2 linked regions of the Yarrowia lipolytica genome follow. The protein of the gene in region 1 interacts with the protein of each later gene in a pairwise test. Links are inferred from orthologs where the notes say so. Each region holds a gene or a part of one and is shown in the gene's direction. Other genes may lie near its edges. The genes, in order: YALI1_E01649g and YALI1_A11415g.

Region 1 (3,590 bases):
TCCTGACACAATCCAGCCGAACGCGCCCTGAACTCCTCGGTTGAGGTGCTCAATGTTCACCTTATCAACTCTCAGACGAGATACCTTCTTCCAGGTTTTGTCTTCGTTGAGTTGCGAAGAAGGCACTCCGTGAATCTGCCGAGGGTGGATGGTGAACAGGGAGTTGTCATACGATCCACTCAGGTTGTTGGCAGATAGTAGATCGTAGAACAACCAGTGCTTTCGGAGCTGGGGCAACTCCATGTTGAACACAGATACGTTGAAGGGCTTGTCTCTGCCCGGCTGATGCAGAGACACCAGCGCGTCTTCGAGCTTGAAGTTTTCAATCTCAAAATCGCCGGTCTTATGTACGTTTCGATTGTTTCGAGGGTCCTGGTTGCGTTTCCATCGTAGATGGTTCCGATCAACCACTCCTCGAATTCCCTTAACCTCAACCTCCTTGAGGATACCCTTTCCTGACATGTATTTCGAAAACGACAGGGTCACATCCACTGTCTCGATGGTCAGGTCAAATTGTGTGTAGTTGCCGTCATCGTCCGGCGGAGCCGATGACAAGCTGCCATACTGCTTCTCACCAGCTAGGGCAGCAGCCTCCCCTTGGCTACCCTTTCGGGCCTTGTGTCCGCCTCCAGGCCTTCGGGACACGAAAACGTTGCGAAACTGGATGACGCCACCCTTCCAATGGGGCACAATTGCCTCCTCAAAGACGACAGACATGCCGGTCTGTCGTGAGACAATGTTTCCGATCTTGGATGCGATCCATTCCTGTGCGAACACGGTGTTCATGGTGAAGAGCACCAACGAGAAGAAGGTGGTGGTACCCAGCACGATCCACACAATGTTACCGACCATGAACCACGAAAGAAATGCAGAAATGTCGTCCATGTTGGTGGGTCGGTCCTGGCGGAAGAGCGCCCACTTGAACCGCACTCGCATTCGATTGTAGAAGCCCGTGGCAGTCGACAGCATTTCCTCCTTGGTGGGTCTCTTCCATCTTGGCTTGTCTTCTGGCTTTGTGTCTGTGACTGAGTCTGTATCTGTGACGGTCTTTTCGCCCTCGCTCTTGCTGCCCAGCTCCTTTGCAGCATTGTGCAGGTTCTCACTGGACTTGCGCACGTTTCGTGACGTTTCCTCCAGTTCAGCCCTCACGCCACTTGTAGAGTGAAACGAATGCCGCAGAGAATACCACGGTGTCACAGGGAGAGTGGTAGGGTGTGTAAGAAAGGGTCGAGGGGACAGGGTCGTAAGTTTCAACCAACTACTCCGTTGAGAGGGCAAGGCAAGCCGTCTAGTACAGAGTCTGGAAACTCTGTGTAGTGTTGCCATTATTGAGCATAGTGTTGAACTAGCTGGGACTGTTGTATTTGTGTAGACGACGGTAGTTGAATGGGGCGGTCAGTCCTAGCAAATAGGTCAACTTGAATTTTGAGACGTTGTCGTTTCTGTGGGGAAGTACAGTGCAATGAGAAGAGAGCCCGAGTGTAATGTCTTTCCTTCGTTGCTCATGTTCCCTCTGCGCCTGCATATTGGCTTAAAGCTTATAAGATTTTTACACCAAGAAACTGGCATGCTGAGGCTGGCACGCAAGCGTAATTGGCAAACTATATTTTGTGGCGTTGGGTGCAATATTGGGTAAGTATTAATTGGGGTTATTGATGAGCAATTAGTTGGGGGTCTGGATCCGTAGTGAGACATCTCTTTCAATCTAGCTACTGTACGAAATATCTGCAACCCGTATAGAAGTGAGTCAGTGGGCAACCGTATATAAGTGGGTCAGATGTCTATGCTTGCTAATAAATTTATTTGCTCTCATCGACTACTCCCATTCACGCCAATTAATTGTCTCTTCCCAACCATTATTACCAGTTGGACACGCTATGAGCTATCTTGGTTCCCGTAAGCCCTTCACATAGCGCTTGCATCGTGCCCAGCCATTAATTAGAGTTGCAGTCACTGGCCAAAAATTTAATTTGGAAAAAATCCGTTTCTCATGCAGCCTGATTTCTCACTCTGTTAACGATCCGTTACAACCACAAAAACTGATAAAAACATGGGTGCCCCAACGGCAAAGAGACAGACACAGGCCACCGAGCCCACCACAGACGCTCCCGTCGCCATCCCCCAAACTGAGGGTGCTGAGGAGGACGAGGTCATGATCTCCATGGACGGACCTCGAGAAGACATTGCCGTGCTCCAGGAGAAGGATGACGACGCCGAGATGACTCTCGACCAGGACGGAAAGCCCCGATTTGCATCTGCCGTCAACGCCGGCGAGGGCGTCAAGCCTGGCCGAATGAAGGTGCCTATTCCTCCTCATCGAATGGCTCCTCTCAAGAACGAGTGGATGAAGATCTACCCTCCTCTGGTTGAGCAGCTCAAGCTGCAGGTACGAATGAACCCCCGAAAGAAGCAGCTTGAGCTGCGAACATGCTCAAATACCGTCGACAACTCGGCTCTGCAGAAGGGAACCGATTTCGTGCGAGCATTCACTCTGGGTTTTGACGTGGACGATGCTATGGCTATCATTCGACTGGATGAGCTGTACGTCGAGACATTCGAGATCAAGGACGTCAAGACTCTTCAGGGAGACCATCTGGGACGAGCCATTGGCCGAATCGCCGGTAAGGACGGTAAGACCAAGTTTGCCATTGAGAACGCATCGAGAACCCGAGTAGTGCTGGCCGACTCCAAGATCCACATTCTCGGCGGCTTCACCAACATCAAAATCGCACGGGAGGCTATTGTTTCTCTCATTCTGGGTAGTCCTCCTGGAAAGGTGTACGGAAACCTGCGTATTGTTGCTTCTCGAATGAAGGAACGCTTTTAGTCATGCATAACTTATTAGTATATTGGAGGGACATACAAACATACATAACAAAAACATTTGATAGATTATGAATGTGTGTACTTTGTACAAGATGGATCTGCCAACTTTTAGAGCCCATCACCTTACCTGTTGTAGTCGCGTACTATTCGGGTACGAACTATACGTTAGCGAGACTAACACGCTACTCATAGATAAATCTGTTGACTCAAATGTTGAGACGTTGAACTATATGTACGCGTATCAGTTACAAATAGATGGATACGATATCTTTCCTATCCACTCTGTAAGCTACAAGTACGATAGTCTCATACACGTGGGTCATCGTAAACTAATAATATCTATTTCAATTTTGTAATCTAATCATCCGAAGACCCCTTGCTTACTCATCCTCCTCCTCGTCATCAAAAGCCTGACCAATAACGTCGTTAGAGTGGTTACTGCTCTTGATGTCGAATGCTTCTCGAACGGCCTTGGTTCCGAACATGTCCCACACCTTGAGCTCACCTCCATGGCCACCGGCACAAAGAGTACCGGCGCAGGCCTGGTCGGGGTTGAAACCCACAGAGAAGACCTTACCGCAAGAGAGGTCTCGGTTGGCCACCATGGAAAGAGAGTACTTGTCGTCCTTGTTGGTTTCTCGCCAGATCTTGACCTCTCGGGTAGAAGCAGAGGAGGTGACAATAGCTCCATCAATGTACTTGTTGTAGTCAAAAGCAGACAGGGGAGAGTCGTGAGCCTGCAGAGTCCACAGAGGCTTGGACTC
Region 2 (4,573 bases), on another chromosome or scaffold:
CGATTTGGAGGCGTCATTCCATCTCCAATGTTCCATTAAATTTAACCTTTTCGGATCTGCACACCCCGCATCCTCGGCTGCACGAGTTTGGGGGCACTTTGTGGACGTTGTGGCGGTTATTTAGAGATACAGAGCATGTCATCGCCATCTCCAACTCCTCCTGATACTATTGCCGAGTTTAGATTCTCTCTTTGTGCGCCTTTAAGACTAACAGACGAAAAGTTATTTGTCGGTTTCAGCCGCGCCAAACTCTAAAACACGTAGCTCTCGGATCGGCATTTACGAAACGCCGATATACGAGATGACGTGCCTGTGATTGATTTACGACTAGTTGGAGAAGAGCGGTGGGTCGATACGTGGTTGGAAATGGTCTCTCGGGCGTTTGTTTCTAAAAATCCGTCTTTTGAACAGCTGTGCGGGCGATATGGGTTCCTCGACCTAAGAAAATAATTTCTGGCTCTTTCGGGCTCTTCCGGGGAATACAATGAGATATAGACACGGCTTAGAGTACGATATATAGCGAGGGGTTCTTAAAAGGAACTATTTTTGAGACATGTGTTTATGCGGTCTGTATGGATGGAATCTCAGCAGACTGTTTTGAGACACACCTTGGGTCTACTGTGAGACACACCTTGGTGACGTGACTGGATGAGATTGCAGAACCGACAGAGTGAGGACTTCAGGCAAGGCCCTATTATCACTGTCTGATATGGAGATATCATTCAACCATGCGACTGTCACGATGTGCCCGACGATTGGAGTGGCCACTGGGCTCCTTCCAAGTCTTCAGATAAGCATAAAAATGAGTCCTTGTACGGCTTCAACAAGATTGCCCGCAATGTCCAGAGAACAGATAGTCGCATGTTATGCTTGCTCATTTAGCTCTTTGAAGCAATATTTGCTATTCCCGGTTGTATATTTGTACTCAATGGAGCTGTAACAGCTATTCACAGTTGTATATTTGTACTCAATGGAACTATGGCCGTTCCTTCAGAGTGTTAGATGTATCTACCGTGACTGGACCAACTCCTTGATTCTCTTGTGGTGAAGATGAGAGGGGGACCAGCTTGATCATAGACGAGATGTCCATCCTGTAGATAGTATTCCACTGATGTACTAAATCTCTTCTGGTGAATGAGCAAACACACATCCTTCTGGTGTGTACTATTATCGGAACATAGTGTCCCTACAAGTGAGTTGTAAGTCATCAACCATACTTACGGTCTTCTATACTTGGGACGCCGGTCGGGTCAATTCCAGACACGATGGGTTCCAGAATAGCAATATGACGGCAATTGTTATCTCTCACACAGCAGCATTGGAACTTGGCATCTTGTCCTGAGTACGACAGAACTTGCTGAAGCCATCAGAAGACGAGCAAGCTCTGGAATAACAGTAGCCAAATGTTGGCGTGTCGTCGTAGAGCCAGCTTCTTCCAGAGAAATGTCAAAAGGTAAGAGTTGTTAATTCCGGTGATGCCATAAAGTGGGTAATGGTGGAATTTGCTTGGTTTAGATCCAAGTCTTTGGAACCTCCAAACTTCCTCTATGGTTCTGACATGCTGGGCTCTGCTTCATGAGAGCGGAGTGGACAAGTTGTAAATACGGTGTAATGTGAGTGAAAATTCATGCCCAAATCGGCCCAAGAGATCGCACTGGAAATCAGTCCTTCTTTGGAATGGAGAAAGAGAGTCTTAGATTAGCTCCCTACAGATAAAGGATGACAAAGGCGGCAGTTGAAACTTGATTTTTCTAATATCTCAAATATTTCAAGTGGTAGACCCCATACTTATGACCAGATAATCCGTCTAGAGGCTCCATTTTGCCATTGCGGCAGCTTTTTGACATTCTTCGGATCATGATGAAAGTCCATTTTTTCTAACAACAATCACGCGGATTTAGCTCAGTTGGGAGAGCGCCAGACTGAAGTCATTCTTCGGTCAGAGTAATCTGGAGGTCCTGTGTTCGATCCACAGAATTCGCAATTACTTTTTCTTTTTTTTTCCCTCATTTAGCAGTTTTTTTGGTAGTTGATCGATTCAGCTGTCGAGAAATGTCTCTTGAAGCCTTGTTACGTTTTTCAACCACAGTTTCACCGGCAAACTGGCGCATGAAATAAAAAAAGAAATAAGTTTCACCTATAGATAATTTTATTTTTCGCACAATCTGATCCAACATCAACATGGCCAAGGACAAGAAGAAGGACAAGGAGGCCAAGAAGCTGCGAGCGGCGGAAAAGGCCAAGAAAAACGCCGCCAAGGGCGAGAAGAAACAGAAGAAGGTGGCGGCCAAGCAGGGCGAAGACGAGGACGACATGGACATTGACGAGATTCTCGCCAACTACAAGAAGGAGCAGGAAGCGCACGATAAGGTGACAATTACCAACGTGGAGCGGCCGAGCAAGCGGGTCAGTTGCTCCATGTGCACTTCGCCGGTTCACGGCAAGAAGGAGCTGTTTTTGTTTGGTGGAGAGGTGTCGAACCACTCGGGAACATGTGCCTTCTTCAACGACTTGTACTCGTACAACATCAACACGGATCAGTGGAAGAAGATTGAGTCTGGTAACTCCCCACTGCCCCGGTCCGGCCACCAGATGATCACGCACCCCAGTGGAATCATTCTCATGTTTGGAGGAGAGTTTTCGTCACCCAAACAAAACACCTTTTACCATTACGGAGACACATGGCTGTTTGACGCCGAAACCCGAGAATGGAGCAAACTGGACCAGAAGAAGGGCCCCAGCGCCCGATCCGGACACAGACTGACGTACTGGAAGAACTACATCTTGCTGCACGGCGGTTTCCGAGACTTGTCGCAGTCCACCACGTATCTGGATGATCTGTGGGCTTTTGACGTCACCACCTACAAGTGGACTCAGATCGAGTTCCCTCCCAACCACCAGACTCCCGACGCTCGATCGGGCCACTCGTTTGTGCCCAGTCCCGAGGGTCCCGTCATTTTTGGAGGATACTCCAAGGTCAAGCACAAGGGCAAGAAGGCCGTTGTCGGCAAGGTGCATCAGGATGTGTGGCATCTTAAGATGAAGGCCGATATTAAGGCTTCTCGGTGGGAGAGACGTAAGAAGGGACAGTACGCGCCTTCTCCTCGAGTTGGTGCTTCTCTGGTGCACCATCGAGGTCGAGGAGTCATGTTTGGAGGAGTGTTTGACACCGACGAGACCGAGGAGAGTCTGGACTCCACTTTTTACAACCAGCTGTACGCCTACCAGATTGAAAGTAACCGGTGGTTTGGTCTGTCTCTGCGAAGTGCCAAGAAGCGAAAGGCTGCATTGGAACGGGCCCAAATCAGCCGAGACGACGATCTCAAGGCCACTCTTGACAGCATTTTCAAGGACAAGCTGGATCTGGGTGAGGACGGTGAGACTCCTGCGGTTGAGGAGGAGGAGGAGACTCTCAAGGACTCCGATGGAGAGGAGGTGGTGCAGAAGGAGTATCCTATTGCCAACCAACTGCCTCATCCTCGGTTCAATGCTTCCATGACCGTCTGTGACGACGTTCTTTACGTGTTTGGAGGCTCATGGGAACGAGGGGACCGGGAGTTCACTTTGGACACCTTCTATGGCATTGATCTCAACAAGCTGGACGGCGTGAAGGTGTTCTGGGAAGACCTGCGGGAGCTTGAGGAGGCGGACGTTGACTCTGACGAGGAGGATGACGAGGAGGATGAGGACGACGAGTTTGAAGAAGACGACGACGACGCTGAGGGTGTGGAGGAAGACGACGGCGAGGAGGAGGAAGAAGAAGAGGAGGTTTCCAACGAAACCATTCCCGATCCCCGACCCTGGCTGCCTCATCCCAAGCCGTTTGAGGTCCTTCGAGCCTTCTACGTGCGAACTGCAGACAAGTTCCTGGAGTGGGCCCTTTCGGCCGACCGAGAGGCCCGCGGAAAGGATCTCAAGAAGGTCGCGTTCGATCTGGCCGAGGACCGGTTCTGGGAGCGACGAGAGGAGGTGCGAGTCATGGAGGACCACTTTGAGGAGATTGGCGGTGTTGCCGAGGTGGTGGAGCGAGATGTGCGAAGTGGAAAAACCAGACGGTAATCTATAGACTTAGATAGACGGAAAAATAAGACAATTTGAACAATGAGAACTCGTACGTGGCGACAAATGTGGCACATAGAGCAGAGCGAGGAGCAAAAAGAGGCCATTCTCTGAATGCCTGCTGGTCCCAAAAAGAATTGCGAATTCTGTGGATCGAACACAGGACCTCCAGATTTCAAGACTGAGAATTACTTCAGTCTGGCGCTCTCCCAACTGAGCTAAATCCGCAATATATCTCAAGAAAGTGAACTTTCAATATAAACTCCAGTTTGAATTTTATTGCCCGAATGGCTCAAATCGGGTATTTACGTCTTCCAATTCATCCAAACATTGTTTAAATACCAAATAAAAATCCTTTCTTCTATTTTATTCTCTAAATTTTTCATCTATATCGCTAATCAGTCTCCATCTAACATGAGTCGAATCCAACTTCGAACGAGACATCACAAGCAACTCCCGGCTCCCATGTCCCAAAGACTTGGTTCTGAACTCCACGTCGATCTTTTTTTCTCGA

The links.
Region 2: the proteins of YALI1_E01649g (region 1) and YALI1_A11415g interact in a protein complementation assay, tested with the Saccharomyces cerevisiae proteins (2 studies listed by BioGRID). The link is inferred for Yarrowia lipolytica from reciprocal best matches to the Saccharomyces cerevisiae genes PNO1 and KEL3.

The regions. Positions count from the first base shown.
Region 1 is NC_090774.1:163,452-167,041, reverse strand, and holds YALI1_E01649g (uncharacterized protein), read left to right. Parts: upstream 1-2,050; coding exon 2,051-2,827; downstream 2,828-3,590. Other genes in the region: YALI1_E01657g (uncharacterized protein), read right to left, coding at 1-1,326; YALI1_E01623g (uncharacterized protein), read right to left, coding at 3,207-3,590. UniProt on the Saccharomyces cerevisiae protein: Required for small ribosomal subunit (SSU) synthesis. Has a role in the processing of early nucleolar and late cytoplasmic pre-RNA species. Recruits DIM1 to nucleolar pre-RNAs.
Region 2 is NC_090770.1:1,139,156-1,143,728, reverse strand, and holds YALI1_A11415g (uncharacterized protein), read left to right. Parts: upstream 1-2,181; coding exon 2,182-4,059; downstream 4,060-4,573.